Sus scrofa: one gene and its partners. The protein of the gene in region 6 interacts with the protein of the main gene of each other region in a biochemical or structural test. Links are inferred from orthologs where the notes say so. Each region holds a gene or a part of one and is shown on either strand. Other genes may lie near its edges. The genes, in order: PRKACA, NR0B2, CTBP1, NR1D2, KCTD11, HDAC1 and KLF1.

Region 1 (4,251 bases), on a different chromosome or scaffold from region 6:
GCATAGCAATCCCATGATTTCCTTTATACTACTGCTCAGGACAGATCAAGATTTATATCTGAACAAAAATGAGTCAAATTTTTTATTTTAAGTTAACAAAATAGAAGTGGATATAGCAAAAAATCAGGAAGGCAGGTGGGAGAATGTTTGAGTTAGGACATCCCAGGGTCCAGGAAGTTGGCTGGTAGGTGGAACTGGATGAGAATCCTGCCTCTGTGGCATCACCTATGTCAAACTCAGAGAACACGTGTAGAAAATTCGGATGACAGCCCATTATGAAAACCACTTGAGGAGTTCCCGTTGTGGCGCAGTGGTTAACGAATCCGACTAGGAACCATGAGGTTGTGGGTTCGGTCCCTGCCCTTGCTCAGTGGGTTAACGATCTGGCGTTGCCATGAGCTGTGGTGTAGGTTGCAGACGCAGCTCGGATCCCGTGTTGCTGTGGCTCTGGCGTAGGCCAGTGGCTACAGCTCCGATTTGACCCCCAGCCTGGGAACCTCCATATGCCGCGGGAGGGGCCCAAAGAAATAGCAAAAAGACAAAAAAAAAAAAAAAAAAAAAAAAAAAAAAAGAAAGAAAACCACTTGAGCAGACAGATCTATGGAGACCACATAGCCTGGCACATCCTAGATGCCCAATAAATAGTGGCTCTACTTCATCTTGATATTCCAGTCCTGAGTGATCTGAGGGAATTAGCGCTTCCTTCCAGAGCCTCTGATCTGTTTCTTGGGGATCCTTTTCCCTGTGCGGCTTTCCCCCCACCCCTACCCCCACCCCCGGCCCCACTGTATGTGTCTGATATGCCTTGAGAGTTTTCAGGACTATGTCATCTCCCCAACTTTCAACTGAGCCTCTGAAATACACAGCTGCCTGCCTCCACCTTCCACCTCCCAGCCAGCCTCACCTGCTGGGGGCCTGGCTCCTCCCCCTCTGCTTAGTCCCCTCCAAGCACAGGCCCAGACCTTTTTTGGTCACTACCCACCTGCTCCTCTGTCATCAAGCGCTCAGCTACAGGCACTTGCCTCCCCGTTCCCCGCCCCTCGGTGACTTGTCAGGCCTCTCCATGGTTGCTCAGTGACTCTAAAATTTGGCCATTTGAATCCGGATGGGAAGCAAGTTCCCTGGCTTTCATGCCTGGGTCTTTCTGGGAGGGAGCCTTCGGGGAACTCGGACGCTGCGGGTTGAGACCAGTAAATGGGAAGGACCTATGTGGATGTGGCCTCCCTTTTAAGCTCTGACTATTTCTGGGTAACTGGAAGGGGATCCTAGCTGAGGTCCAGCTTTATGCCTGGAGTGATGACAATTTAAGAGCTGGAGGAACTGAGGAAGGGGCTCAAGGCCATTTCTGAAGGCATTTCCAGATACCAAAATCTCTTTCCCTGGCTGGCTGGAAAAGGCCACTATTTGGGGGCTGAGGGAGAAATAGGCTCTTCTCTGGTTGAACCCTGGGAATGATCAGAATCTATTTGTCCCTTGGCAGAGAGGCATTAGATGTCACCCACTACTCCTCCCAATTGCCATCCCTTGAGTCCTCTTTCTCACCATTCCAGCTCAAGCTGAAGGAGGCTTGTTAAAGCCAGACACTCTTCATCCCAAGCCCGGAGCGGGTCAAGAAGCCTGGGGGACTGGGTGAATGACGAAGCCTCAGTTGTGAAACAACCATTTATTGAGGGGCCCTCTGAGGAGCCTAGAGCCTTCCAGAGATGGGAAGGGGCTCTCTGCTGACACCTCCACCCCCCAACCCAGGAAAAACGACGCAATGAATTTTCCAGCAAGATCAGCTCAAACTTGGCTTTGGAAGCACTGAAGCAGTTCTCTAGGTTCATAAACAGTCTGCTACCCCAGCCAGGGACAGACGCTTGCTTGGAGGAGGGAGCACAAGCAGAGGAGCAGAGTGACAGAGAGTATCAGGATGAGAGAGGGGCAGAGAGACCCAGAAAGATCCTGTCCCCCATGTCAAGTGACACAGAAGGGAAAAACAATTCTGGAGGTGGCCCTGAGAAATGCTCAAGGAAGGCAAAGTGGGGTTGGAGGGGGCTGTGATAAGGTGAAGAGGGGAAGGGCAGGAGAAAGATGGCGGGGGCTGGAGGGGGGAGGGGTGTGGTCACCAAGTGGCCAAGGTCCCTGCAGGGTGGAGGCAGACCCCACAGCACTCCCAGACTGGCAGAAGAGGTGAGTGTGGAAGAGGTGAGTGAAGAAGTGGGGGGAGATTTAGAATCTGTGCAGAGGTACCAGGAAAGAAGAGAGTGGGGTAGTGACAGGGCCCCATGTGGGGCCTCAGCGGTTATACGTGCCATGGTTGGCAGTGACAGCTGGGGGGGAGCACGGTCTTTGCACAGGGGGACGGTCTTTGGCAAGGGGGCTCCTACGGGGTCTTCTGCGGGCCTTGGGCCCCAACCTTGGACAGACAGGGGGAAGGGTTCGCTGTAGGGTAAACAGAGAGAAATGGGGGGGATAAGGGGAGGGGCCAAGCGGTGATGGACAGGGAGGGGGCTGGCAGCGCGGGGCCGCGATCGGGGTCACGGCCCGGGCACTCACCGCTCTCCTGCTCGCTGCCCTTCTTGGCGGCGGCGGCGTTGCCCATCGCGGCGGCGGCGGCCGGGGCCGGTCCCGGAGCTGCGGCGCGGCGGGTGCTGGAGGCGGCCCGCGGCCCCGGAGCGCGCTGGGCGGCGGCGGCGGCGGCGGCCCCTGGGGTTGGCTGCGCTGGCTGCGGCGCCGCGACCCCCGCCCAGCCCCTGCTTCCCGCGTCTCTCCGCGCCCGCCCGCCCGGGAACCTCAGCCCAAGTCCGCTGCTGCTGCTGTCCGTGACGCCCCCGCAGCCTGCCGCTCATTGGTCTAGGCCTCCCTGACTGACGGCGCTACGCCGCAGTCCATTGGTCCTCCGCAAACCTCCCGTGCTGCCATAGGATCCCGGCCCCTGACACGCCCCTAGAACGCCCGGCCACTCGCGCGCTTCTGAGGCCTCAGCCGGGCGGGCCGACGCGTCTGATTGGTCCAGCCTCCCGACAGGCTCTGGGGCCCGCCCAGCGAGGCAGTCAATTGGCCAAGGCTGGCTGTCCGGCAAACCCTCGGCCGAACGTTCAGTGTCAATCCCGAGGTGAGAGGGCGGGGCGGAGGCTCAGCCCGCCGCCCGGACCTGACGGGCGGGGCGGCAGGCTGAGCCTCGACCCACCGGGTGGGGGGGCGCGGAGGCTCATCCTGTTGCCTGGACCCGCCGGGCGGGGCGGCCGAGGCTGGCGGGCGGCCGCGCAGCGCTCGGAGCCCCAGGCGGCGGTCCAGGCGGGCGCTCGCCCAGCCCCGTATTCGCCGCAGTCCCCCGCCCCCGCTCAGTGCGGCAGCGGCTGCCGGCCAGCCGAGGTTGGCGCCGCGCCCCCCCCACCCCACCCCGCAACCCCGGCGCAGCCGCTGTCCACCTGCCAGCGGGGGAGGAGAGCAGCAGGCGCCGCGGGTCATAGGTCGCCCGGCCGCCGGCCGTCGTCATTCATAAGGCCTGGCGCAGGATAGCTGCAGGCCCCGGGGCCAGGCTGCGGTCCTCTTGGGTCTCTCTCAGCCACAGCCTGAGCTTCTGGAGGATGCTGGGCTGCAGGAGCAAGGGGATGTTGGGAGGGGGCGCTCACTAGCCATCCTTTTTTACTGGGTCCCCAACTTGGGCTCATGGCAGTGGTGAGCTAGCGCTCATTAAATACGTTATTTCGTACCACACTCCTATCACGTAGGCACTATGATCATCACTCCCATTTTACAGATGAGGAATGGGGCACAGCCAAGATGGGGATTCCCTCTGTCTAGGCAATGCAAAAGGAACGGCCCCTCCTGGAGCAGAGTAGCAAAATTGCCCCTTCCTTAGGGTGCCCTTTTAATATACTGAGGACAGTTTCCCACTGCCACATTTCTGACATTCAGGGCCGGACCAGTCTATGCTGGCGTGGGAGTGAGGAGTGGTCCTGTAGGGTGTTTAGCAGCATCCCCAGTCTGCCACCTGGATGTCAGTAGAACCTTCCTCTCCTCCACCAGCTGTGACAACAAAAGCCACCTCTAGACACTGTTCAGTGTGTCCTGGGGGGCAAAACTGCCCCCAGTTGAGAACCACTGATGTAGAGGAAGGCCCAAACGGGGTGACACAAGGGGCAGGAGATTGGATGAGCCAGCTCTCCTTGGCTTGGAGGGGCCAGCTGGTCTAAGGTCTACAAGTCAATTTGCTCCTCTGCTTCTGGATTTGTACAACCTGCACCCCATCTAGCAGCAGTCTGG
Region 2 (4,067 bases), about 4.6 Mb from region 6:
AGCAGAGCAACATTTCTGCCCAGATCACATGGGCAACATCTGCAGACCAAGAAGCAGAGGTGGGGGCCCAGGTGGTCATGAGCTCTGGGAGACCCAGGCCCCACAGCTCTGGCTGCCCAATTGGGCCAGAGGGTCCAGGGCAACAAGTGAGGATTTTGGAGTCAGACTGATCTGGGCTCTGTCTCTTCTCAGTGGTTTGAACTTGGGCAAGTCACTTCACCTCTTTGAGTCTCAAAAAGTAAGAATCTTGGGAGCTCCTGTTGTGGTTCAGTGGGATAAGAAACAAACTAGTATCCATGAGAATGCAGGTTCGATCCCTGCCTTGCTCAGTGGGTTAAGGAAACAGCCTTGCCTCAAGCTGTGGTGTAGGTCACAGACTTGGCTCAGATTCCGCATTGCTGTGGCTGTAGTGTAGGCAGGCAGCTGCAGTTCTGATTTGACCGCCTGGCCTAAGAACTTCCATATGCTGTGGGTGTGACCTTAAAAAAGACAAAAAAAAAAAAAAAAAGGTTTGGAATCTTATAGGGCAGCTTTGAATAAGAGAGTGGAAAGTGCCTGGCATGTAGTAAATAGCAGCAGTATTTCATTATCATTCTGCAAAGGCTTCTCAGCAGATATAGCCCTTCAGGGTCTCCAGGAATCCAGGCTGGGGAGAAAGACTTCTTAAGGATCTTATTCGTGCAGGACCCCCCAGAACTGGAGTCAGAGGAAAGGGGCCTCCTTGACTGCAAAGTGGGCAAAGTCCTCCCAGCCCCCCAGGGTCCTGGCTCCCTTCCCTGCAGGTTGTTCCTTACTGACAACGGGAGCAGGGCCCCAAGGTTAGGCAAACAAGCAAGTGATAAGGCGCTTCCAGGTTGGGCCTTGTGTTCAAGGCTTGTCCCGGTCTGGGGCTGGCTTCCCAGTCGAGCAAGAGTCCTGCTGGCACCAACAGGGACACCTGCCACGGCCACCTGCAATCGGGTGCAATCATGCACCTGAGGCCTTGGTGCCCTGGTACAGCCTGGGTTAATGACCCTGTTTATCCACTTGAATCATCTGACAAAGGGCAGCCCGGCCAGCAGGCAGGCGGCTCTTGCCCTGCACCCGCCGCTTCATTGACTGAAGCGATATCAGAGCCACGTGGAGTTCCAAGGCCCCCTCCCCCCTCACTTCCTCACCGGTCCTGCCAGGGTCAGTGTGTGTTTCTTTTTTTTTCAATGAACATGACTTCTGGAGTCAAGGTTGTTGGGCCATTCCCCCGCCCTCCCCCATGGGGGGATATAAATAGCACCCATAGCACAGAGCAGAGGGCAGGGGAGAGCCGGGAGGAAGCAGGAGCAGAGCCTCAATCATGAGCTCCAGGCAGCCAGGGACCTGCCCATGCCAGAGTGCAGCAGGCCGCCCAACCATTCTGTATGCACTTCTGAGCCCCAGCGACAGGGACCGGCCGTCTGTGCCCCCAGCCCGCAGCCACTGCCTGTGCAGGCAGCACCGGCCTGTCCGGCTCTGTACCCCCCATCGCACCTGCCAGGAGGCTTTGAATGTTCTGGCCAAGACGCTGGCCTTCCTCAGGAACTTGCCGTCTTTCTGCCAGCTGCCTCCCCAGGATCAGCGGCAGCTGCTGCGGGGCTGCTGGGGTCCCCTCTTCCTGCTTGGTTTGGCCCAAGACATTGTGACCTTCGAGGTGGCCGAGGTCCCAGTTCCCAGTATACTCAAGAAGATCCTGCTGGAGGAGCCCAGCAGCGGCGCAGGTAGTGGCCAGCCGCTGGATCGGCCCCAGCCCTCGCTGGCTGCCGTGCAGTGGCTTCAGTGCTGCCTGGAGTCCTTATGGAGTCTGGAGCTGGGCCCCAAGGAATACGCCTACCTGAAAGGGACCATTCTCTTCAACCCTGGTGAGCTCCTAGACACTCCTGGATGGGGGCCGAGGCTGGAGGGGGCCAGGGCTTAGCCAGGAGGGCGCCTTCTAAAGGCTTGACACCCGTTGTCTTTTTTGGGTCCTCATTATCACCACCAAAGAGTCATCTCACAAAAGGGGCTCAGAGAGGCTAAGTGACTCGCTGAAAGTCACACAGCCAGGGAGGGGCAGAGCAAGGATGGGAACTTGGGTCTCTTCACTTCAGCCACTCTGCCCCAGAACCTTGTCCTGACCCTCAGGGAAGGCGGGAGTCCTGAAAGGGAGGGTGGACAGACACAACTGTACCTCAGTCATGTCTTCACCAGCTGATGGCATGAAGATATTCTGAAGGTGCAAGTCCGTGGGTCCAGAAAGACCATGCATAGAAGAGGAATGAAAACGAGGGATGTGGGGGAGGAGAGGGAGGAGTCTGTGTAAACTTCAGCCGGGAGAGCACAGATAGAGGTAGTGTCTTTGTTATCTGGAGAGCACCTAGATGAGAATGTCTCCCCAAAAGGCCTTCATGGGATACATTATCAAAGAAATTGTTTAGAACAATAGTAACAAATACTCATATTACGCTTACCGTATGTTCAGTCCAGTGCTAAGGGTTTGACATGTACTGGCTCATTCAAACCTCATAACAAGTCTAGAAGATAGGTTTTTATACCCATTTTATCATTTTGTTATCATTATCATTATTATTATTATCCTTATTTGCCTTTTTGTCTTTCTAGGGCCGCACCCATGGCACATGGAGGCTCCCAGGTTAGGGGTCCAATCGGAGCTGTAGCCACCCACCTATGCCAGAGCCATGGCAATGCGGGATCCGAGCCGCATCTTTGACCTATGTCACAGCTCCTGTCAGTGCGGGATCCTTAACCCACCAAGGGAGGCCAGGGGTCAAACTTGCATCCTCACGGGTGCTAGTCGGGTTCGTTAACTGCTGAGCCACGACAGTAACTCCTATCATTTTATTATTTATTCCCATTTTACAAATGAGGAAACAGAGGCACAGAGATTGAGTAACTTTCCCAAGGCCACATAGCTAATAATGATAGTGTGGGATTCAAACCCAGGTGGCCTGGGTCTTAACCATTGCTCTATACTACCTCACCATAAAGGAGCAATGAATAAAGTGATGGATAAGTAACTCGAGATAGAAATAGGGTCCCAAAAGCTGAGCTGGCGGCCTCAGGTCTTGGGCCAGTCTTATCCTGTGGTGTCGGAGCAGGGTCCTCACCAGCCCTCTTTGCCTTCTCTGCCCGCAGATGTTCCAGGCCTCTATGCCTCCTCCCACATCGGGCACCTGCAGCACGAGGCCCACCAGGCGCTGTGGGAGGTCTTGGAGCCCTGGTGCCCAGCAGGCCAAAGCCGCTTGGCTCGTGTTCTCCTCGCAGCCTCCACCCTCAAGTCCATTCCGCCCACCCTGCTTGGGGACCTCTTCTTTCGCCCTGTCATTGGAGATGTTGACATCGTTGGCCTCCTCGAGGACATGCTTTTGCTGAGCTGACCTGCTCCAGCCCAGGCAGAGATCAGGTGGAGGCTGGCAGCACTGATTTGACCTGGCTGTCCCCAGGGGTGAGCCGGTGCTCCCAGAGGGGGCAAGCCTGGACAGCGAGCTCTCGGCTCCCCAGGAGCAGCTAGTCCTGGCCCAGCCAATTGGGCTACACCCTATCTTGGCCTTCCTTGTTTTGGGCACCGTGCTCCAGCTGTCTGGCCAGCCCTTGGTGGTCCCAGGACCTTTGGGCCAAGACTCCTGTCTCCTCCTGGGATGGGGTTGGAAAGTCTGACTGCTCACTGGGTCAGGAGTCCTCCTGACTTTGTACAGAACTGACTTAAGTTATTGGTTTTTGTAATAAAAAGTGTGACACACATGGAGCCTGACGCTGTATTTTGTACATGTGGAGGGGACCGCCTCACCTCTGGGGTTACCCCGCCCTGCCCCTATAGGAGGGAGCCCCTGAAGAAGGAACTCTAAGTGTACAGCAGTCAGACCTCTGGAAACTGGAATTTTAATATATCAGAGGGGAATGATGATTTCATTTCTGGGGATGCGATTTATTTTGCATGGGTCTAAATCCAGGGGGCAGCATCAGTTCAAGACTCCCTCACATCCTTGACTTTATCTTAGAAGGTAGTAGGTATCTCTCCCTGCCCCCATCCCCTGCTGACCCCCTCCCCCAGCTCCCGC
Region 3 (4,182 bases), on a different chromosome or scaffold from region 6:
GCTTTCTTGCGTCCACTCACACTTCTCTGATTTATGGACTTTAAAGATGTATAGACAACAGGGTTGGTTTCAGGATGGCCCATCATGTTTCATCAACTGTACCAACACTTGAGTGCTGGTCACGGCTGTTGCCTTTTAAGGAAGTGATTTTTGGAGTTCCCGTTGTGGCTCAGTAGGTTAAGAACCCGACTAACAGCCATGAAGATGCAGGTTTGATCCCTGGCCTCGCTCCGTGGATTAAGGATCTGGCTTCCGATCAAGCTGCGGTGTAGGTCACAGATGCCGCTAGGATCTTGCGTTGCTGTGGCTGTGGTGCAGGCTGGCAGCTGCAGCTCTGATTTGACTCGTAGCCTGGGAACTGCCATGTGCTTTGGGTGTGGCCCTAAAAAAAAAAAAAAAATCTTTTTACCTGGGAAGAGAGTTATACCGCCCATCCTCATGGCCACCTCGTAGCAACGCAACTCCCAGGACAGTGTGGGTCTGGGGAGAAAGGTCTCCAGAGTCTCCTGGGCCCTGCCCCCGTAACCTCACCCGGGAGACCTGGTTAGCTCCCACCCTGAAAGCCCCCATGACCCTTGGGTGGCAGGTCCCCTCTGGACTCTGGAACTAAGCCCAGGTGCTCTCTCTGGGGCTGAGGCGGTGCTCACCCTGACACCTGCTTCAGCCACATCTGGCTGCTTCCCAGGGACCCCACCCCCACCCCAGACCTAGGCAAGTCCCTGCCCTTGGCTTCGAGCAGCTGTCCTGGGGACTCCTGTCCAGGCTGCTCCGCCCAGACACGCCCTCCTCGGTCCCTGGAACCCAAGCACAAGGCCAGGGTTTCCCAGAGAAACCCTCCCGCGTTTGTGCCGCTGCCTCCCACGACCTTGCAGCCGCCAGGAGTCCAAAGGACATTCAAACCACCGGTACCCAGAAGCGCATTCGCTCGCCCAGCCGCCAGCAGGAAGGTGCGAGACCGGTGCGGCCCCGAGGGTGCGGATGACAGCAAGTTCAGCCCATCAGTCAAGGCCCAGTGGATTACAAGCAGGTGGGGCCTGGCAGGTTCAGGGCTGGTGAACGTGGGGGCAGGTGGGATCTGGAGGGTTCGGGGCAGGTGCGTGTGCGGGCAGGCGGGGCCTTGGGGCTTCTCAGCAAGTGAGTCTGCATGTGCTGGGCAGGTGCATGTGCGGGTGCGGGGCGGCGCGGCCGGCGGGGGCGGGGGAGCCCGCAGGCCGGGCGCGGCGGGCGCGGCGGGCGGGGCGGGCGGGCGCGGCCTGCAGCCGTCCGCGTGGTCCTGCGCGGCGCCCGCGCCTGGAAACAGGAGGCCGCCGCGCCGGAAGCCCCGCCCGCGCGCGCGCCCTGTCCCCGCCCGGTGGAGCGGCTGCTGGCGCGGCGCGGCGGCTCGGCACGGCGGCGCCCGGCGCAGGCGAGCGGGTGGAGCAGCGGACGGCGCCCAGGCCGCCCCACGCGCCGGGCTCGCGGCGGAGCGCGCCGGACTCGTCGGAGCCCGCGGCCGCCCGCGCCTTTCAATGGGCAGCTCGCACTTGCTCAACAAGGGCCTGCCGCTCGGTAAGGCCGCGCGCGCGCATTTCCGGCCGCGGGGGCGGGGCGGGGCGGGGCCGCGGGGGCGGGCGGGGCGGGCGCGGGCCCGGCTTTGTGTGCGAGTGCGCGTGCGCGCCGGCGCCGGCGCGCCTCCGGCCGGGGGCGGGGCCCGGGAGCGCCGCGCGCGTGCGCGTGCTGCTGCGTGCGAGTGCGCGTGCGCCGCCGCCCGACCCGCCTGCGCAGGTGACACAAAGGGGCGCGGGGGCCCTGGGACCCCCGCACCCAGGGTGCAGGCCCCGCCAGGCTGGCGCAGCCCTTGCTGGTGGGGCCCTGCGGAGCGGTCTGGCGCGCCGATCGGGGACCCGGCGTCGCTCGTGGCCGGACTGCGGAGCCGAAGCGGCCCTCCGCGAATCCGCGGCGCGGTGTCTTCCCTCACGCTTTGCTCGCCCTTTCGATCCCCACCGGCTTATGAAACGTCCGAAGTGCTGCGTCTGCCGAGGCGGCGCCCTTCCCGCTCACCAGGCGGAGGTGGCAGCAGGGCGCCCGCCTCCTTCTCTGAGCCTGTCTGTTTCCACCTGAGTACCTAGAGTGGTGTGACCCGCTTCTGTTTGTCCCCAGGCACCTTATGCCGCTCTTGTTTTGAGAAGTGACAGGAGCAGGCACCATCCGTGCCCCCGGCAGCACTGGGGCCCTGAGCCTGGGGCTGGCCGGGGAAGGCCGGGTGGGGGGCCCCCCCGGGGTGGTGTTGGTTTGCTGGCCGCTGTCTACATCCCTATCCGGCCACTTCCGCCGCGTCGTGCCCACCTGTCCTGCCACCTTGCACAGTCCCTGCTCCTCCTGGCTTCCAGTAGCTGGCCTAGGGCCTCCTTGTGATTGGGGTGGCGGGAGAGGCGCCACCCGCAGCTTCTTCCGTCCTCTCCTGCCGCCCAGCCACTGGAGCCTATAGATCAGGGATCGCGGACCAGGTTGGGGGGGGGAACTAGCATGGCCCCTGAGCTTTGGGCGGAGCTTTCTCTAGCTGGTGCCAACCTGCAGGCTAGGGAAGGCGCGCCCCTGGGCTTGCAGAGGGAGGGCCTTTAAGCAGGCAGCCGGAACTTGGCTGGGGCAGCCCCCTTTCTGGTGATGCTCTTCTCTGTGATTGGTTAGGAGCCATCACCCTCGAGAAGCGGGATGGGATGGGTTCGCTTCCGGGTGCTCTGAGTTGAGGAGACCGAGGTGAGCCCCTCATCCAGCTCCTGCTTCTCTCTCTTCTCGGGGTGGCTGGAGAGTCGGGTTGCAGATGGGGGCCCAGAGCCTGGACCACCGTCACATCCATGGAGGCGTCCCCCCCCAGCTCCCTCCTTCTCCCTCTGCACAGGTCGCAGTTTCATTTGCCTGAAAACATATGCAGGCAAACACTAAGGAGGAAGCCGCTTCTCAGCAGCGTGAACGTTTGGGGGTGCCCTGTGGGTCAGTGCAGCCTGTCCACTCTTGTGAGCCTCTGGAGGAGTGACCACAGCAGGCAGGAGCACAGACCTGCCTCCGGGGGCCCTGGCTGAGCCCTGGTGACTGGGGCATAATCTTGGGCCCTTTATGGGACCGTCTGTACGTATCTCTAAAGTGGGCCGGCAGTGTGAGACGTGGGGTCACATGAGTGGGCCCGTGCCAGGGGCAGGGCCCGTGCCAGGGGCAGGGCCGGGACTGGGGACTTGGGGGCAGGGAGGGACACGGCTGGGGGAAGGGCCAGGGGCCAAGGACAGGGCTGGGACCAGGCCCATGGAGCAGAGGACAGGGCAGGGCCGGGGGCAGCGCCTCTGCTGTAGCTGCGTGGGCTCGGCGTCATTGTCCTTCCTGTCCCAGAATGTCAGCTGTGTGGGTCCTGCCGGCCCTCGTCGCGGTGGCGTCTCTGGCTGGGGCCGCCTCGGTCTGGGGCTGCCCTTCCTGCAGGCGGTCTGTCTGTCCACAGGCTGGGTTTTACCGTGGTCTCTGGGCGTGCACGTGTTTTGGTTGGGGCGTCGCTGCTTGGGAAGGCTGGGCTGTGTCTGTCCCCCGGCAGGCACGTGCACCCTTCATTCTCCTGCTCCAGGGAGCAGGGGCGGCTGGGCCGCGGTGTCTGGGCAGCTGGACCTTCCTCCCTCCCAGCTGCGTGCGGGGTTCCCCTTCCCGCCTCTTCAGCCTCAGGACACTCAGGAGGGGGTGCCTGGTTCTGTGGGCAGCCCCTACTCAGCCCCTGGTCCGAGAGGCTGGAGCCACCCCTGTGCCTGCAGCGGGGAGGGTGATTTTCTGATGAGCGGCTGCATGGAGGGCCCGGCCGAGCTGAGCTCCTCTCCGCCCCAGCAGGGCCCTTGGGGTCGGCCAGCAGCAGCTGTCGCTTGGCGGGGGCTTCTTTGGGCAGCTGGCCGCGCGAAGGCACTGGGGCCACGATGGGGCTTTTCTCTCTGATGGTTTGCCCCCTCCCCTGGCCGTCCTGTGTCAGCGCCCTGGGGCCTTGCCTGCCGTGGGACTGAGAGATTTGCCCCCAGAGCCCCTTCCCGGGAGAGCCTAGTGCTGGTCCCTGGCTCCGGGCAGAGGCAGCTGTGTCTGAGGCTTTTTGTCCTGTGGGAACGCTCCTTCTAGAAGACTCCTAGTTTCCCCCGCTGGTGGCGTGGGCGCAGGGCTCAGAGCCCGGGGGGCACGTCCGTC
Region 4 (4,255 bases), on a different chromosome or scaffold from region 6:
GACCACATTGTGTAGAGAGCTGTGTAGATGGTGCTCGAAGGCCTAGGAGAGAAGCAGGGCCCAAAGTTTGTGCAGAGCTTTGCAGGGCAGCTTCAAGTACTGGATTTTAAAAAAAGCAATAGGAAGCGATTGGAGGGTTTTGAGTAATTAGATCTCATTAACATTTAAAAACATAACACTGGGTAGAAGTGATTGTAGGTGGTTCCAGGCACAGTTTCCCCTGTTAGGGATCTATTAGAGTAGCCCAGGCAAGAGAAGATGGTGGTTTGATCTACAGTAATGACAATGCTGATGGTGAAAAACTGAAAGATCAAAGATGTATTATGAAGGTAGAATAGCTCAGATCTGTTAATGGGTTGAACCAGGTATAAAAGCAGTGAGAGGGAGAAAGACAGGAAGAGAGAGAGAGAGAAGTGAAACTCAATTTGTTGGTTTTAGGAACTGGCAGATTTATCAAAAAGTAGATGTTGATGGGGTAGAGTGTGTATGTGTGTGTGATGGGGCAGTGGGTGATGGGGGGCGAAGGGATGCAGCACATGTAAAAATGTCTTATGAATTATATTTCCCTCAATATTTCATATTGAAAAATTTCAAAGAGCAACTTAGAATTTTACAGTGAATACCCACATAAAACATCTACAACTACTACATGATTTACATAGTAAGATTATTATGCTTCTAACCGTCCATCCTGGCCTCCATCCCTCAGACCATCTTGCTTTCATAATGCACTTAAATTTGCAGGCATCAGTGCACTGCCCTCTTCATACCTCGGCACACGTCATTGGTCTCCCCCCTTTTTTCCTTTTGATGTAAAATGTACACACAAGGTGAAACGCACAAATCTTCGGTGTGCATTTGCTGAGTTTTGACACAAGCATACGCCTGCCTACACCTTAAATTTGAGATGCCAAAAGGATATCAAGGTGGCATAATCAAACGGGCTGCTGAATGCAGGAATCTGGGGCTCAGAGGAGACGTTGGAAATGTACATTCGGCAATCATCAGAACACAAGCCTACTTGAGCTGTTGGACTGAATGAAGTCACCCGGGGGTGCAGAGGGAAGGGATGTGGGCTGTATCTGCAGAGCCTGGTCTTTAGAGGTGGGTAAGTCGGAGAGCCGACTTGAGGCGCGGTCAAGGGTTGGGGCCAGCCCTGGATCCTGCAAAGCACGCCTGCTTGGCGCCACCGGGCGGGCCTAGGTAAACGTCCGAGGAGACCTAAGGTGTCACTAGGCGGGGGTGGGGCAGGTTCGGGGAAGGAAGCCTGGGGGGCTCCCACGGAGGCGGGAAGGTCAGCAGCGAGAAAGGAAGGAGGGAGGAGGAGGGGCCCGAGGGTGAGGGAGAGCGGGCGGTGGCTTGGGGAGGAGGGGGAGGGGAGCCGGCGGCGGGAGGGGCGGAGTCGCCGCAGCGGCCGGCCGAGGGGCGGGCGGAGGGAGGGGGTGTGCGCGGGTCACATGGTCGCGGCTGCCCTCCCCATCAGCCGCCCTCGCCGCCGCGGTGCGCTGGCTGCAGGAAGCCGCCGCGCCGCCGCTTTGTTGTCAGGGACCCCGCGAAGAGGGCCGCTCGCCGCCGCCGCCGCCCTCTCTCCCCGCAGCCCGCTCTCCGGCCGCGGGGCCGGGTCCGGGCGTCCCGCCCGCCCTGCCCATGAGGGGGCCCCGGCCCCGGGCGGCGCGGTGCTGAGGCGGCGGCGGCGCTGCCCCTTCTGCGGGAAGCGGGCGGCCTCGGCCCCCTCCCGAGGGCACCATGGAGGTGAATGCGGGTAAGAGCCCACTGGGCGGGGTAGCGCGGCGGAGGGGCGCTGGATCCCGGCGGGCACTCGGAGGGCTGCGGCGGGGCTGCGGGCTGGCGGGGCGCGGGCTGGCGGGGAGGGCTGCTGTGCGCCGCGGGCTCGCCTCGGGCTCTGAGCTCGTCGCCCCGGGGCCGCCCTCTCGGCTCCCCGCACCGCCGCAGCGCGGCCCGCGGCGCCGGCCGGGCGCCCCCCTCACATGGCCTGGCCGCGCGAGCCACGTGCGCGCTGTGTTTACGTTCGGCGGCGCGCGGGCGCCGGTTGGCTGGGCGGGCTCATGACGCGGCATTACATAATGGGCGCTGGGGCGGCGGCGGCGGGCGGGGACACGTGAGGCCGCTCGGCTCGGTGACCCACATTCCCGGGGGCCGCAGGGACACGTGGGGGCGGGTGCGCGCGCGCCAGCCGGGAGCGCCGCAGCCCCGCGGAGGCCCCGCCTCTCCGGAACCCTCGGGCTGTGACGTGGCGCGGTTCCCTCCTCCCCCGCGGGGTTGCTCTTTGCGGAGGAGGCCGCGCGTGCGCGCCGCGGAGACCCGCGCTCGGCGGCCGGGAGCTGAGCCTACGCGGGAGCCGCGGCCTGGCTGCGGGCAGGGAGAGGAAGGCGCCCGGCGTGGGCGCTCTGGCGCTGAAGGCAGTGCGGCCGGACAACCTGGGGCTTCCCCGACGCATGACCCTCCGCGGGGCCTGGAGGTGCTTGGCTTCCCAGCGACGCCCGGCGGAGGGGCCGGGGAACGCCCAGGTTGTGGTGCTACTTCGTATTAAAAAAAAAAAAAAAAAAAGACTGTTTTAGTGATCTCTTCTGGGAAGCCTTCTACCTCACCACCTTCCTCTATGGGCGGGTCCACCCTTGGCTCAGCCTTCAGCTCTATTGGGCGTGACCGAGGTGACCCCAGTGACTCCCAGGCCTCCTGTAAGGCTGGTCGTTTTTCGCTTAATTTCTTTAAACCCTTGGGTTGCTGACCTTTTCTGATTCTGATAACAGAATTTGACTCTATCACGCCCTTTCTTGTTATCTTTCACCTTGTCTGATTCTGATTCTGATAACAGAATTTGACTCTATCACCCCTTTTCTTGTTACCTTTCCTGCCTTGACATCCCAGCACAATACCCGGCTACCTTCTGCCCTTTTGTTTGCCTCCCTCCCCCCCCAATCAAAGGATGGACCGTTACCTGAAGACAGTGAGGTTGCAGAAGCAGCCAGTGATTATGTTTTAAGTTACCCGTTCAAAAAACCATGGCTTGATAACAAAGTGTTGTGAAATTTCCACCAGCAGTAAAAAATAAAGTCATTCTCGTGTGTTTTAATTACCTATGGGCCTGTTTAACCTGTGAGTGTAGTTAAAAAAAGTTCAGTAACTATTATGGAATTAAACTTACTTGGTATGGATTTAGAAGTATAAAGTTCAGCCTCATCTAACCTACCATGGATGAATAAAGCCAGCTTTTGTGTTTGAATAAAGTGGGCTGGCTCAGTGGTTAGGTTTTTTTTTCTAGTTTGAACCTTCCTGGAACATTTTCACTGATCTTAATTTTGATTTTATTTTTATTTTTTTGTCTTTTCTAGGGCCGCACCCGTGGCATATGGAGGTTCCCAGGCTAGGGGTCTAACCAGAGCTGTAGCCACCCGCCCTAAGCCAGAGCCGCAGCAACATGGGATCCGAGCTGCATCTGCGACCTACACCACAGCTCACAGCAATGCGGGATCCTTAACTCACTGAGTGAGGCCAGGGATTGAACCCACAACCTCATGGTTCCTAGTGGGATTCGTTAACCACTGAGCCACGATCCCTGATTTTAAATTGGCTACAAATTATAAAATTTCCTTGGGATGATTGTTGACGACCCGATTTCCCCCCTCCCCCCTGGCCAGTTCACATCCCATCCCTTGGTCCTTGCTCTGCTGTATTTTCTGATCGTTATCCTTGTTGCCCTTTGGGATGTGGGACTGGGAAATGAACAGGCTCCTGTGGAAGTTATTGGACAGCTGCCGAGCTCCAAGCTCGGGATTCTGATGTACATGAATTTGTGGCAGGCTTGGCATTTGTGGCTTGCTGCTTTGCTGACTCACAGTAACCTTGCAGTCAACTAGAACCTTTTCATGTGAACTATTCTGAAGCTAGGTTTCATCCTTCGTGCAGATAATTGTTTGACCTGAGCTGTAGGACCTTGTAATTATCTTTCTTAAATTTTCTCCTATTCCTTTTGGCTCCAGTTTCAAGCTGTCACAAACTGTTATGTAGTATACTAACAATTTCTGCCATGCCCCAATTTTTGCCAAGGGGGGCTTTGATAAGCATCCCCTTTAACTTGTTCATATTGTAAATGTAGCCCAGGGTGGGGCCAAATTCATTGCTGTGTGGCATGTCTCTGACACCTCACTTTGGGTTGATATCATTTTATTAGTCAATACATACTCAACCAGTGATCGTTTCTAACTCTGCTGTAAATAATGACACATTGTGTCTC
Region 5 (4,257 bases), on a different chromosome or scaffold from region 6:
AAAGGATGCTCCAGGGATGGACTGAGGCTTGGAGAAGGAGGGAGGGCAGGGTCCGAGGAAGGGGACTTTATTCTGAGAGAGGCAACGTTCGTTAATATTGTCGTTAGGCATCTTTTCAACAAAACAGATGAATGAAACTCCCAACTCAAAAGATAGGAAGTTGGGGGGGTAGGTTGTTAAGAGAATGTCATTCATTCCTTAATTCCCTTCCCTACAGGCTCCGACTGGCAAAGATGAGAGAGGCCGATGCGGCCCAGGGCCAGGCTGGTAAAGTACCCCCCACCCCCGCCCCCACACGACACTGTAACTCTGGGCTTCTGGTCGCTGGTGACCTGTCCCCAACCCCCTGTGCTCAGCTTCTTTGGTTAATTACATTATTTAGTCAACAGATATGGATGGGGCACATCCTACGCGCCAGGTCCTTGAAACAGAGCAAAGAATAGGCGAGGGCGCTGCCCTGACAGCGCAGATGTCCCCTCCACCCACGCTGGAAGCGCGTGCTCTTACCAGGCCGGGCTGTCCCCATTGTGCGCTTCAGTGCTAGCGCCCAGCCACCCGGCGTCCCAGCCCTTCCTCCCTCCCCTCAGGAGATGAGACGTATCTCGACATCTTCCGAGACTTCTCCCTCATGGCATCTGACGACCCCGAGAAGCTGAGGCGGCGCAGTCATGACCTCCACACGCTATGATCTCAGACCGTCGAGGGCCCCGCACCGGCTACTCCTCCCCTCCGCCCCTTCGCCATTAAATCCTCTGTGCCTTGCTCTTCAAAGTTCATTTACTGGGCAGCCCCTTCAGGCTGGCAAGGAGTTGGGCGTTGCGTCTCTTGGGGTGCAGGAGCGGCTGGGAGTTTGCGAGCTTGAGTCACACGAGGGGCGGAGGGGCGAACAAGGGGAACAAGAAGAGGGAGCTTCGGCCTCAGTCTGAGAGTCGCGCGGGGCACGTAGGCTCAGGCGACGTGGCCAGACCCATCCGGGTGGGGAGAAGCCGCTCGCGTGGGCTGGGCCCGGCCTTCCCTTGGGGGTGCTGGCATATGGCTGGGATGGCGAGGCTGGCTCAGGCCACCCCGGCCCAGGCCCGGAGGCATCCCTGGAATGCGGCGGCTCAGCACCCGCCCCCTCGGGAATTCCCTGCGGAGCGACTGGGAAGGAACTGGTCCCCAGCCCCCGACGGCCAGGCTTCGGTTTCCGGAGCGGCGAGATAGGAGGGGCCGGCTCCAGCCTAGATGCAGACGTGAGGTCTAGCACACCTGGGGGCCGGCGGGGCCGTCGCAGCCACATCCGGAACGACGCGCCTGAGTCACCCGCAGGACCCCACCCCCGCTAGCGTCCGCCTAGCCAGCCCGTCCGCCCCGTCTCTCCGGTTCGCCGCTCTCGGCTCCCACCACCACCCAAGCCGCGCTCGCCCGGCGGGGGCGGGGGGCGGGGCGCCCAGGGGGCGGGGCTGCCTCTTAAAGGGCCCCCGGCCGCTGCCCTTAGGCCACTTCCTGGGGGCGGAGAGGACTTCAGCGGCTGCGACGACACTGGGGGAAGGCGGCGGCGCCCGGTCTCGAGACTCCCGGCTGCTTCCATCGGAGTCCTTGGACACTGCCAGCTCGGACTGAGCGTGCATCCTCGCTCCCCAGCGGACACAGAGGAGCCTCCGGTGTCGGCTCCGGTCAGCCCCTCCTCCATCTCCTGGAACCCGCGCCGGAGCCAGGCCAGGCCCGGCCTCCGACTGGCTCCCGGAGCTCTGCATCGACTCGCCCGGAGCGACAGCGCTCTGCCCCAGAGCTCAGAAACCTGACCCTTCAAAGAGTCGGCCTTGTGCTCGCCACCGTCACCTGCTGGTTGGATTTCGGAAACCCACTGTCTGAAGACCACATAGAGGAATCGCTGACCCCCGGAATCGGACCTAAATCTCTCGTCCCTCTCTGGCTTCCCTCTGCTGTTTTTATCCGTTCTCCCAATCTTTCCGGAATTTCTGTGCCCAGAACCCTCCCCCACCACAGTAGCTGGAGTGAGCCCCACATCTTGCTGCCTTGTACTCCAATTTGTGCCTCCGACCCAGAGACTGCCTGAACTTTACGCCCCAGTTCTGCACACACCCAGGAAGTTCCGCCTTTTCTTCTCTTTCGGTGTCCCCAGTACTCCTCAAAATTTCCCCTCCTCCTGTGCCCTCTCCGCCCCCCGCCTTTGGGGGCCCTGTGACCCTGAATGTGGGGGGCACGCTATATTCCACCACTTTGGAGACGCTGACTCGATTCCCAGACTCCATGCTGGGGGCCATGTTTAGGGCCGGTACCCCCATGACCCCCAACCTCAGTCCCCAGGGAGGTGGCCACTACTTCATCGACCGAGATGGCAAGGCCTTCCGGCACATCCTCAACTTTCTGCGGCTGGGCCGCCTGGACTTGCCCCGTGGATATGGGGAGACGGCGCTTCTCCGGGCAGAGGCTGACTTTTACCAGATCCGGCCTCTCCTGGATGCCTTGCGGGAACTAGAGGCATCTCGGGGGACCCCGGCACCCACAGCCGCCCTGCTCCACGCAGATGTAGAAAGCAGCCCCCGCCTGGTGCACTTCTCCGCTCGCCGGGGCCCGCACCACTATGAGCTGAGCTCTGTCCAGGTGGACACCTTCCGGGCCAACCTCTTCTGCACCGACCCCGAGTGTCTGGGTGCCATGCGGGCCCGATTTGGTGTGGCCAATGACGACAGGGCGGAGGGAGGCCCACACTTTCGTCTGGAGTGGGCCCCCCGCCCCTCGGAACTCCCGGAAGTGGAGTACCAGAGACTGGGGCTGCAGCCCCTGTGGACTGGGGGGCCAGGAGAGCCACGGGAGGTGGTGGGCACCCCGAGCTTCCTGGAGGAGGTGCTGCGGGTGGCCCTGGAGCACGGCTTCCGTCTCGACTCCGTCTTCCCTGACCCCGAAGATCTGCTCAACTCCCGATCTCTGCGCTTCGTTCGGCACTAAGAACTGAACTGGGAACGCTGCCCTCCGTTTGACCGGGGCGGGGGGGAAGGGGAAAAAGAAGGGGGTGCCAAAAGGGATGAAGGCTCTCCTGAGGCCTCTTCCTGGCTCTGCTTGGGGAGCTGTGAGAGTCAGGAGTCCCACTGCACCTGACTGGAGCCCAGATATGGGCAGCAATCCCCAAACCAGAGCCCACAAGACCAGAGGGTCTGGACTGATGCTAATCCTGGGAGGGGTAGGGAAGCTTCCCTTGGCTGTTTCTCCTCTGAGCCTGGGGACCTCCAGTGTTTCCTTGCTTGGAGCTCGGTATTCAGGGTCTGGAAAGGTGGAGACACTTCTCTTGCAGGGCTGGGCTTATCAGACCTGTGGAGGGACCCTCAGGGTTTGGGGAAAGAGGGTCTTTGGATTGCTTTAATGTGGTCTCCTAGACTGTGACTTCTCCTGGAGCTGGTGGCCTGGCCTGGCCTGGCCTGACCAAGGAGAGGCCAGGACACTCCGACACACGGGAAGGGAGATCCTTTGCCATGTCCCAAGCCACCACTGAGGGAGACAGAAAGGCTACGCCCCACCCTAGGTGGCCACAAGGGAGCTAGGAGAATCCCCATTAACTGTGGGGCTGGAGCATCCTTCCCATCTTAAAAGACCCCATATTGATGGTGGGGCTGCCCAGGGGGGAGGCGGGAGCACGTTCTTGGGTCCTGGCCTGTCTTCCTTCGCTTCAGGCATGTGTACGTGCCTGCCAGCCAGTGGGTCAGATGATGTGTGGGGCCCTCACCTCCTGGCTCCCATCTGTGTTGCTGGAGATGGTGTCTGTGTGCTGGTCTTTCTGCGGGCTCTTCATGTGCAGGCTTGTTCGGGGTTGCCTGGCAACTGTTCTGGCACCAGGTGTGCCAGCACCATGGGTGGAAGCAGACTGAGAATTAGTTTAATCACAGGTGTGCGTGCACACATGTGTCTCACATCACCACGTCGGCAGGAGGAGCCTGCCGGGCCTTGAGTCACTAGGCTCTGCTGCTGAGAAGTGAGAGAAGTCACTGGGGCTCAGCCGGGCCTTGGAGCCCTGTATAGAACTCTCGGTTGCTAGGGCAACCATGAGCCTGTTGCTAGGAGATAGCTGGGGAAGGCCCAAGGCTGTCCAGGGCAGAGAGATGAACAGAGGAGTTTGAGAGAGTGGGGGAGGCTATGGAAAAGGATGGGATTTCTGGGTCCCTGGGGGATGGGATACTCACAAACGACTTCTTCACTGGGGGAGTCGCTTGCTATTTATCACTGGTCACGATTTACAAGAAGACAAATAAAATTGCTTTT
Region 6 (3,500 bases):
GCCACCCTTCCCCTCCAGGCCCCACCCTCCTTCACCTGGGCAACTCATTTCTCAATGTCCACTCAAACATCACCACCCCTGTGAATACCCTTTCCTCAGCTCAGGAAGCAGTTTCTCTCTCACTCCTCTGTTCATCCCTCAAAAACAGCACTGACTACATGCTTCTGGGGATGTGCCTGCCTCCCATACCATAGACTGTGAGGTCTTCATGGGCATAGATCTTGTCTTAAATATTCCTGGATCCAACAGAGAGCCTGCTCCAGAGACGGCATCGATAACTATTTGGATGAATTCCGTTCCCCTGACTGGCCGTGCAGCATGCAGACAAGGGCTGAAACACATCTCACTTCCAACCAGCCTCTCAGCAGGGAGAGATTTCTGAAGTATGTTAGGGGGTTGCTACCCCTCCCTTAGATCAGTCCCATCTATAGCCCAGGGTGGTTGGGTAAGCCACTTACCGGCTTGAAAATGGCCTCATAGGACTCGTCATCAATCCCATCTCGGAGCGGGTAGTTAACAGCATAATACTTGCCTTTGCCAGCCCCAATATCCTAATCAAGAGGGACAGTAAAGTTAAAGTAAAACTCAAAGATGAAGCTAGAAGGAAGTTCAAGGATGGGGGCTGGAAGGCTAAGGAAGGAGGCAGTGGTTCTAAGAGAGAGACGCTGGGCCCATGAGGTGGGCCAGGGACAGAGCAGGTCAGTACCATTCCCCTCAAGGGCAAGTCTAGCTCACATCTCTGGACACACCACTGAGGCCATTTATGGGCCAGAGATTTGAATATCCTACCCCACAGCACAAGACCTCTCCCTTTGGACTGGATTAAAGGTGGCTGGGGGCTGGACCACAAAAAATAACACTCATCCCACAACAACCCTTCCCTTGCCAGGGAGCTTGCATGCTCACTCCTCTACCTCCCATTCTCTCGAGAAGGAAAGCAGAAAGGGAAGAATTCTTCAAAACTGTAAATGCTCAATTATTCAAAGGCCTGCCATTGCAAACAACTGAATTAGTGCCACTTTTTCACCCAAGGGCTACTGGTATTGCAAAGTGGCTGGTTTCATTGTATTCATGCTAATAGAAGCAGAACAGTTAAATGAATCAGCTTTGAAGGATTCTTATCCAGAGGTCCATGGATAGGTTTCACTAAGGGGAGGTGCTATAAACTATCTGCCATCAGATGTAAAATTTCATGTACTTTCCCAGGGAGACAGTACAGAGCTTTCAGTCAGATGATCAAAGGGAATGTTAAGAACCCCTGAGATGGTCCATAAAGGTCCCAATTCCTAGCTCATTGGATAGAACCTGAGGTTTCTTAGCCTGGAATTCAAGCTTTCTGGATATGTGAATAGTGTAATGCAACCCGGCTGGGGCCAGGAGGAAGTGCAATGAGTCAGGAGACCCCCATCCCTCCCAAAGCTTCATGTACCATCATTCCTTTCCTCCAGAATAAGAAAGGGAAAGAGATCATAGCAGGTGTCCCAAGCTAGGTTGTGATGTTCTGAACGGCAGAAGAGGCAGGAAGTGGTTTTTGGTGACATGAGATAGGAGACTTAGAGCTGGCAGCTGAGGGTGAGCTGGTTGGCCCCTAAAGGGAGTTCTCACCCGTAGGTCCCCAGTTCCTGGGAAGTACTCTCCATATTTATGAAAGGACACAGTCATGACTCGGTCTGTGGTATAGAAGGCCTCTTCCACGCCATCGCCGTGGTGAATATCAATGTCAATATACAGCACCCTCTGGTGATACCTAGGATCAGAAGGGGGTCAGGGGGTCTGGGGGCTCCTTGGGAGTGGGACGCGCCAAGGGCGCCAGGTCCCAGCTTACCGGGCTGGCTGCCTCCCTCAGGTATCTCTAAGCACCAGAGACGTAGAAACTGGCTGAAGGAAGGTGGAAGAGCGGCAGGGTGTCTCCAGAGGCCTGACCAAGGCGACCAAGTCCAATCTTCCTACTCTACAGCCAGGGTCAACTCCGGCCACACAGGGACACTCTGGAGGCAGGATCTGAGCAGCGCCTGCCCCTATCTTGCCGTGGGCTCAGATCAAATCAAGACCCCGTCAAGAAGAAGATGGCCAGAGACACTCACCGAACACATCCTAGCCAGCACACCGCTAGGAAAAGCAAACTAGGGAGGCAAGCCCAGGGGAGAGGGAAGTGGGAACCTGGCCTAAGGTGCTCCTCCAAGAGACAAGGCCAGGCAGGCATACTTTAGCAGTTCCAGGATGGCCAAGACGATATCATTGACGTAACAGAAGCCAGATGCCTCGGACTTCTTTGCATGGTGTAGGCCCCCAGCCCAGTTCACAGCGATGTCCGTCTGCTGCTTATTAAGTTTCACAGCACTTGCTGGGCGTGGGAAGAAAGATCACAAGACTGTTACCAAGCCAATCTCCCCCTTCCCCCCAGAAGCCAAGAGAGCCCAGTAAGAGGAAGACCTGCCTCTTCAGCTACACTGTACAATTCACCAGCCAGTCCTCTCCCCCTGCCCTATTCCAACAGGGAATAAACATGATACTGGCTACTCAAAAAACTGGTTTTGAAGTTCCTACTGAGGCACAGTGGGTTAAATGTGACTATAGTGGCTCAGGTCACTGCAGAGGCGTGGATTCAATCCCCAGCCTGGCGCAGTGGGTTAAAGAATCCTGCATTACTACAGCTGCCAGGACGAAGTTTCCTAGCCCAGGAATTTCCATATGCCGTGGAAGTGGCCATAAAAAATTAAAACAAACAAAAACAAACTATTCTGTTTGCTTGTTTTCTTTTTCGGCCTTAACCATGACATACGGAAGTTCCTAGGCCAAAGACGGATTCTTTTTTCAGTTTTTTTTTTTTTTTTTGGTCTTTCAAGGGCCACACCTATGGCATACAAAAGTTCCCAGGCTAGTGGCTGAATCAGAGCTACAGCTGCTGGCCTACACCACAGCCACAGAAACATGGGATCCAAGCTGAGTCTTCGACCTATACTGCAGCTCATGGCAACACCAGACCCTTAACCCACTGAGCGAGGCCAGGGATCTAACCCACGTCCTCATGGAAACTATCGAGTTTGTTACTGCTAAGCCATGACGGAAACTTCGGAATCTAGATTCTTATCTACTGCATCACAGCACGATCTCCTTAAAAAACTGTTTTCCAAAATGAAGGTGGTACAAAATGAAGCTACCACAAACTTACTAGTAGGCCTTAAAATTGGTTTAGTGGGTCGTGATTAATATATATTTTTCTTATGTTTTTATTTTTTGATAGGTAAGAAGTAGATTTATTTAGAGACAAAGTGTAGGCCATCTCAAGAGAGAGCGGCGCTGGGAGAAACACACTTCACAGAGAGTCTAGGCCATCTCAGACAGCAAGATGTAAGAGGGCGAGAGGAGTGTGTGTGTATATATATATATATATATATATAATTTTTTTTTTTGTCTTTTTGCCTTTTCTAGGGCTGCTCCAGTGGCATATGGAGGTTCCCAGGCTGGGGTCTAATCGGAGCTGTAGCCACTGGCCTACA
Region 7 (4,224 bases), on a different chromosome or scaffold from region 6:
CTTCCTGTGCCCTGGTACCCTGTGCGCGCATCCTAATGCTATCACAGTCTCCATCCTTTGGCACTCTCCTCTGTGTTCCAGCCCCTCCCTTGCACCAGGGGGCCTTCCAGCTGCTGCCCAATCCTGACCCTGATCTTGGCTCTTGAGCCTAGAAATCCACCTGGTGTTCCAGGCCCTGTCTTCGGCGATTCCACTCTCTCCCTGCTAGACCTGGCCCCTCCTTCCTGAGTCCCAGTGCAGGTCTATACACGTGGGCCCATCCTCTGTGCAGACCCCGAAGAATAGGCCTCATCCCTCCTCTTCCCTGCCACTATTCTTCGTCCCCACCCATCTTTTGGCTCTTTGGGACCTGGCTTCTCCTCCTAAGCCCACCCTCTTCTGTTTCCCGGCTATTTTCCTTTACTCTTCAGGACCTGCCTGGGCGTCAGGGCTCCTGCAACTAACTCTTCTGAGCTCCAGCACACCCCCTACAGTCTGCCTCCGCCTCCATGCCAAGCAACCTAATTTTCATACCCCTGGTTAAGGCCCCAGAACCCCTAACTCCCGCTTCTTGCTGCCACAAACCTGAACCCTGTATCTTTGGCCCCACCCCTGGTATTTAGAATTGTCCCCTCCCCTCAGTCCCTCTAGCCCCATTCCCTACACCTCTGGTCCAGCTTTCTACTTCTCTGCCTGTCCCGGGCCCTGATCTTTTTTTTTTTTTTTTTTTTTTGCTTTTTAGGGCAGAACCTGTGGCATATGCATGTTCCCAGGCTAGGGGTCGAATCGGAGCTGCAGCTGCGGGCCACAGCCACAGCAACACCACACCGCAGCTTGCGGCAACGCCGGATCCTTAACCCGCTGGGCTGGGCCAGGGATGGAACGCGTTTCCTCATGGATGCTGAGCCACAACAGGAACTCCCCAGGCCCAGATCTTACCCGTCGGTTCCCCAAAACGCTTCCCAGGTTTTCCAGATCCCTTCTCTGTCCCCACCCGCTTTCTGCACCGCTTGGGGTTGGACTCCTGGTGTCTCAGTCGGGTCCCAGCCTTTCCGCAGCACTTTGCTCCGAGATTTTGCTTTAGCCCCGCCCCTCGCTCTAGGTTTCCAACTAGACCGCACTCCTCTTCCAAGGCTCCGCCCCAGCCCCACCCCTGAGCCGGGCCCCGCCCCCTCACCGGTGTGCGTGCGTAGATGTGCCTTCAGGTGCGAGCTCTTAGTGTAGCTCTTGCCGCAGCCGGGGTGCGTACACGTGTGGGCCGCCTGCCTCTTGCGTGCCCAAGATCGCCGGCTGCGCTTGGATGGCGCAGCCTCTGCGGTTCCTCCTGAGTCTCCTGTGGTCCCCCCGAGTCCTGCACCTGCCGTCCCGGGTCCTAGACAACTCAGGAAGGAGTGAGGCGTAGCGGGGCCGGGCGCCGGGGCCGGGAGCCCACGGAAGAGCTGGAAGTGCCCTTGGTACTGCGGCATTGCGTACAGCCCTGGGTACCCGGACAGCAGCCCATAGGGGGCGCCCGGGGCTGCCTGCACTGGAAGCCCGGTCCGCGGGAAGTAGCTACCGGAGGAACCCGCACCTGGCCCCGGGTACATCGGCTGCAGCGGCAGCGCCTTTGGCTCGGGGGCTGGGATCAGGGCTGGGCCCACGTAGGCGTCGGGAGCCGGGGTTCGTGGGGTTGGGCGCGCCCAGCCCGGGTGCTCTTCGGCACCCAAGATCCCAGCCACCAACCCTGGGCCGCCTGCATAAGTGCCCAGAACATCGGGCGGCGTTGGGAATTGCGCCCCAGGGCCCTCGCCAGGAGCCAGGGTGCAAGTTTGGGGCGCGCAGGTCTGGGATGTGCTGCCCAGCTCTGGGCACTGGAAGTTGGTGAGGAGGAGATCCAGGTCCCAGGGGGTAGCCACGTCCCTCTCATCATCTTCGTTCTCCTTGGGTGCGTCTTCCAACTCCGGCCTCACATGGAGGGGTGGCCCGGTGGGGTCGGGGGGACCTGGGCCCAAGTCCTGCACCTCTTCAGAGCGCCACCACTGTGGGAGGGAGCCGGTAGCAAGAAGCTTCAGTGGACACCAGGGTATCCTGCCCAGAGATGATGGGGGGCCCGGATGCCCTGATGGGGGCAGGCTGGCCAGAGGCTCAGGAAAGGAATCTTGTTTGCTTGTCCATCATGTCAGTCTGTCCCACTCCCTCACACTGTCGTCCTCATGCCCCCCACCCCCATCTCAGCTCCAGAGACAGAGGTCTATCGGGTCAGGCTGGAGACAGCCGATAAGGCTTACATTATCTAGAGCCACACTGAGGCGTGGGGGAAGGGCTGACAGAGCCAAGAATGGAAGGTTAGGGAAGGCTCAGCCTTGCCTCAGTTTCCCCCCAGAATCTTCAACTCCTTCCCTGTCCCCCAACAAAACTAATCCCAAGATTAATTCATGGGTGTCCCCTAGACATATCTGCAATTTCCCTCTGATATCTGAGCTTGTCTCCCTGAGTCTAGATGTCCATGTTGTTCAGTTCCCAGCCTTAGTTTTCTGTGACAGAAATAGGCCCCTAGACCAAGGTCAGAACCCTGGCCTGCACTGAGGACTCACAGTCCTGACCAGGTCTCTGAATTCCAGGTAAAGATGCAGATCTGATCCCCCAGCTCTGTGGTCTGGGCCTGGAACCCCAGCCAGCCCGTCTAGACCCCACCTGACCCCACCTTGAGGAAGTCTTCCTGTGTGTCCGAGAAGGGGCCCAGGGTGGTCAGCGTGCTGATGGAGGGCAAGGCGGTCTCTGCTGCAGCCATGGCTGGCTGGTGCCTGCCCTGGGGCTCAGGCCTCTTCTCCTTTGGCAGCCTCGTGGGCTCTGAGGCTCTGCTGGCCCCTTGGAGGGCTCCTCTCTGCCCTTAGCTGATTGGCTGCAGCCCCTGATAAGGGGCAGGCAAAGGCGTGGGTCACTGTTTCTGGGGAACCGACTTGCCTAGGGCTGTTTGGGGCTGAGCCTTAAAGACTCATCCTGTATCCAAAGCCAATCAGATATTCAGGGGCTGGGGGTTCAGGGGCTGGGGGTTCAGGGGCTGGGCAGTGAGGCACTGGGTTCCCAGAGAAGGAGAAACTTGGGGACATGCTCTCAGTTACTTTCCTGGAGAAGGGGTGACAGACAGAATAAGGATTCTAGAAAGGAATTTTGAGAGCCCCCTTGCCTCTGGCAGGACATTCTGGCTCTCCCCTTCCCCAATAAACGGCAGCAACCGTGTTGATGGCGGGACTTGGCACAAACTCCCTGCCAAGGCAAGCATTATCAGACTCCCCAGATGCTGGAGGCTGCTATCAGGTGGGGGCCCAGATCAGCTAAGGCTCTGTCCCTGGTGAGTGGCAGGGCTGGGGGCTGGGGATTAACTTTTTTTTTAAGGGGTAGGGGAAGGACAGGGGTTTTCTTATCTTTTTGATCATTTTATTTTATTTTTTATTTCTAGGGACACACCTGCATCATATAGAAGTTCCAAGGCTAGGAGTTGAATCAGAGCTGCAGCGGCTGGCCTACAGCACAACAACAGCAACTCTGGATCTAAGTAGCATCTGCAACCTACTGCAGCTCAGAAAACACCGGATCCATTTAACCCAATGAGTGGGGCCAGGGATCGAACCCACATCCTCACGGATACTAGTGGTGTTCTTAACCCACTGAGCCACAACAGAAACTCCCAGGATTAACTTGCTTTTAAATTTCCTGGGTTGTGGGAGTTCCCGCTGTGGCTTGGCAGAAATGAATCTGACTAGCATCCATGAGGACGCAGGTTCAATCCCTGGCCTTGCTCAGTGGGATAAGGATCAGGCATTGCCGTAAGCTGTGGTGTAAATTCAAGATATGGCTTGGATTTGGCATTTCTGTGGCTGTGGCATAGGCTGGCAGCTGCAGCTCCAATTCAACCCCTAGCCTGGGAACCTCCATATGCCGTAGGTGCAGCCCTAGAAAGACTATATATATATATATATATATATATATTTTTTTTTTTCCCCTGGGTTGTAAGCTTCCAGGGTCTGTGCACAGTGGCAGGAGAGTCCCTTGCCCATCAACCATCACTGTTTACCATGGAGACGCCCCCATCCCCCAGGCGGCATTGCAGGGAGTGTGGCTGTGTGGGGGCTGAGGCTGGTACAACTAGAGCTGCTCCAGTGTGATGGGGGCTGGGGAGGAGGAGGTGACCTTGTCTTCTGGGTGGGATAGGACTGTTGGATGGGGCCACAGGAAGCACCTGACTTGCAGGAGACCTAGCGGCTG

What was found.
Region 1: of the proteins of HDAC1 (region 6) and PRKACA, one has a biochemical effect on the other in vitro, tested with the Homo sapiens proteins (3 studies listed by BioGRID). The link is inferred for Sus scrofa from reciprocal best matches to the Homo sapiens genes HDAC1 and PRKACA.
Region 2: the proteins of HDAC1 (region 6) and NR0B2 form a complex in vitro, tested with the Homo sapiens proteins (2 studies listed by BioGRID). The link is inferred for Sus scrofa from reciprocal best matches to the Homo sapiens genes HDAC1 and NR0B2.
Region 3: the proteins of HDAC1 (region 6) and CTBP1 form a complex in vitro, tested with the Homo sapiens proteins (2 studies listed by BioGRID). The link is inferred for Sus scrofa from reciprocal best matches to the Homo sapiens genes HDAC1 and CTBP1.
Region 4: the proteins of HDAC1 (region 6) and NR1D2 form a complex in vitro, tested with the Homo sapiens proteins (2 studies listed by BioGRID). The link is inferred for Sus scrofa from reciprocal best matches to the Homo sapiens genes HDAC1 and NR1D2.
Region 5: the proteins of HDAC1 (region 6) and KCTD11 form a complex in vitro, tested with the Homo sapiens proteins (2 studies listed by BioGRID, with this or other methods). The link is inferred for Sus scrofa from reciprocal best matches to the Homo sapiens genes HDAC1 and KCTD11.
Region 7: the proteins of HDAC1 (region 6) and KLF1 form a complex in vitro, tested with the Homo sapiens proteins (2 studies listed by BioGRID). The link is inferred for Sus scrofa from reciprocal best matches to the Homo sapiens genes HDAC1 and KLF1.

The regions. Positions count from the first base shown.
Region 1 is NC_010444.4:65,073,425-65,077,675, reverse strand, and holds the start of PRKACA (cAMP-dependent protein kinase catalytic subunit alpha), read right to left. Parts: upstream 2,801-4,251; 5' UTR 2,585-2,800; coding exon 2,539-2,584; intron 1-2,538.
Region 2 is NC_010448.4:84,224,403-84,228,469, forward strand, and holds NR0B2 (nuclear receptor subfamily 0 group B member 2), read left to right. Parts: upstream 1-1,267; 5' UTR 1,268-1,330; coding exon 1,331-1,871; intron 1,872-3,144; coding exon 3,145-3,386; 3' UTR 3,387-3,754; downstream 3,755-4,067. UniProt on the Homo sapiens protein: Transcriptional regulator that acts as a negative regulator of receptor-dependent signaling pathways. Specifically inhibits transactivation of the nuclear receptor with which it interacts.
Region 3 is NC_010450.4:493,128-497,309, reverse strand, and holds the start of CTBP1 (C-terminal-binding protein 1), read left to right. Parts: upstream 1-1,382; 5' UTR 1,383-1,508; coding exon 1,509-1,548; intron 1,549-2,689; exon of another isoform or gene 2,690-3,105; intron 3,106-3,903; exon of another isoform or gene 3,904-4,182. UniProt on the Homo sapiens protein: Corepressor targeting diverse transcription regulators such as GLIS2 or BCL6. Has dehydrogenase activity. Involved in controlling the equilibrium between tubular and stacked structures in the Golgi complex.
Region 4 is NC_010455.5:10,755,499-10,759,753, forward strand, and holds the start of NR1D2 (nuclear receptor subfamily 1 group D member 2), read left to right. Parts: upstream 1-1,455; 5' UTR 1,456-1,746; coding exon 1,747-1,762; intron 1,763-4,255. UniProt on the Homo sapiens protein: Transcriptional repressor which coordinates circadian rhythm and metabolic pathways in a heme-dependent manner.
Region 5 is NC_010454.4:52,696,698-52,700,954, forward strand, and holds the start of KCTD11 (BTB/POZ domain-containing protein KCTD11), read left to right. Parts: upstream 1-1,457; 5' UTR 1,458-2,253; coding exon 2,254-2,952; 3' UTR 2,953-4,257. Other genes in the region: ACAP1 (arf-GAP with coiled-coil, ANK repeat and PH domain-containing protein 1), read left to right, coding at 218-267, 588-688. UniProt on the Homo sapiens protein: Plays a role as a marker and a regulator of neuronal differentiation; Up-regulated by a variety of neurogenic signals, such as retinoic acid, epidermal growth factor/EGF and NGFB/nerve growth factor.
Region 6 is NC_010448.4:88,777,111-88,780,610, reverse strand, and holds part of HDAC1 (histone deacetylase 1), read right to left. Parts: intron 2,345-3,500; coding exon 2,206-2,344; intron 1,748-2,205; coding exon 1,606-1,747; intron 552-1,605; coding exon 459-551; intron 1-458. UniProt on the Homo sapiens protein: Histone deacetylase that catalyzes the deacetylation of lysine residues on the N-terminal part of the core histones (H2A, H2B, H3 and H4).
Region 7 is NC_010444.4:66,143,343-66,147,566, reverse strand, and holds the start of KLF1 (Krueppel-like factor 1), read right to left. Parts: upstream 2,801-4,224; 5' UTR 2,750-2,800; coding exon 2,663-2,749; intron 1,998-2,662; coding exon 1,157-1,997; intron 1-1,156. UniProt on the Homo sapiens protein: Transcription regulator of erythrocyte development that probably serves as a general switch factor during erythropoiesis. Is a dual regulator of fetal-to-adult globin switching.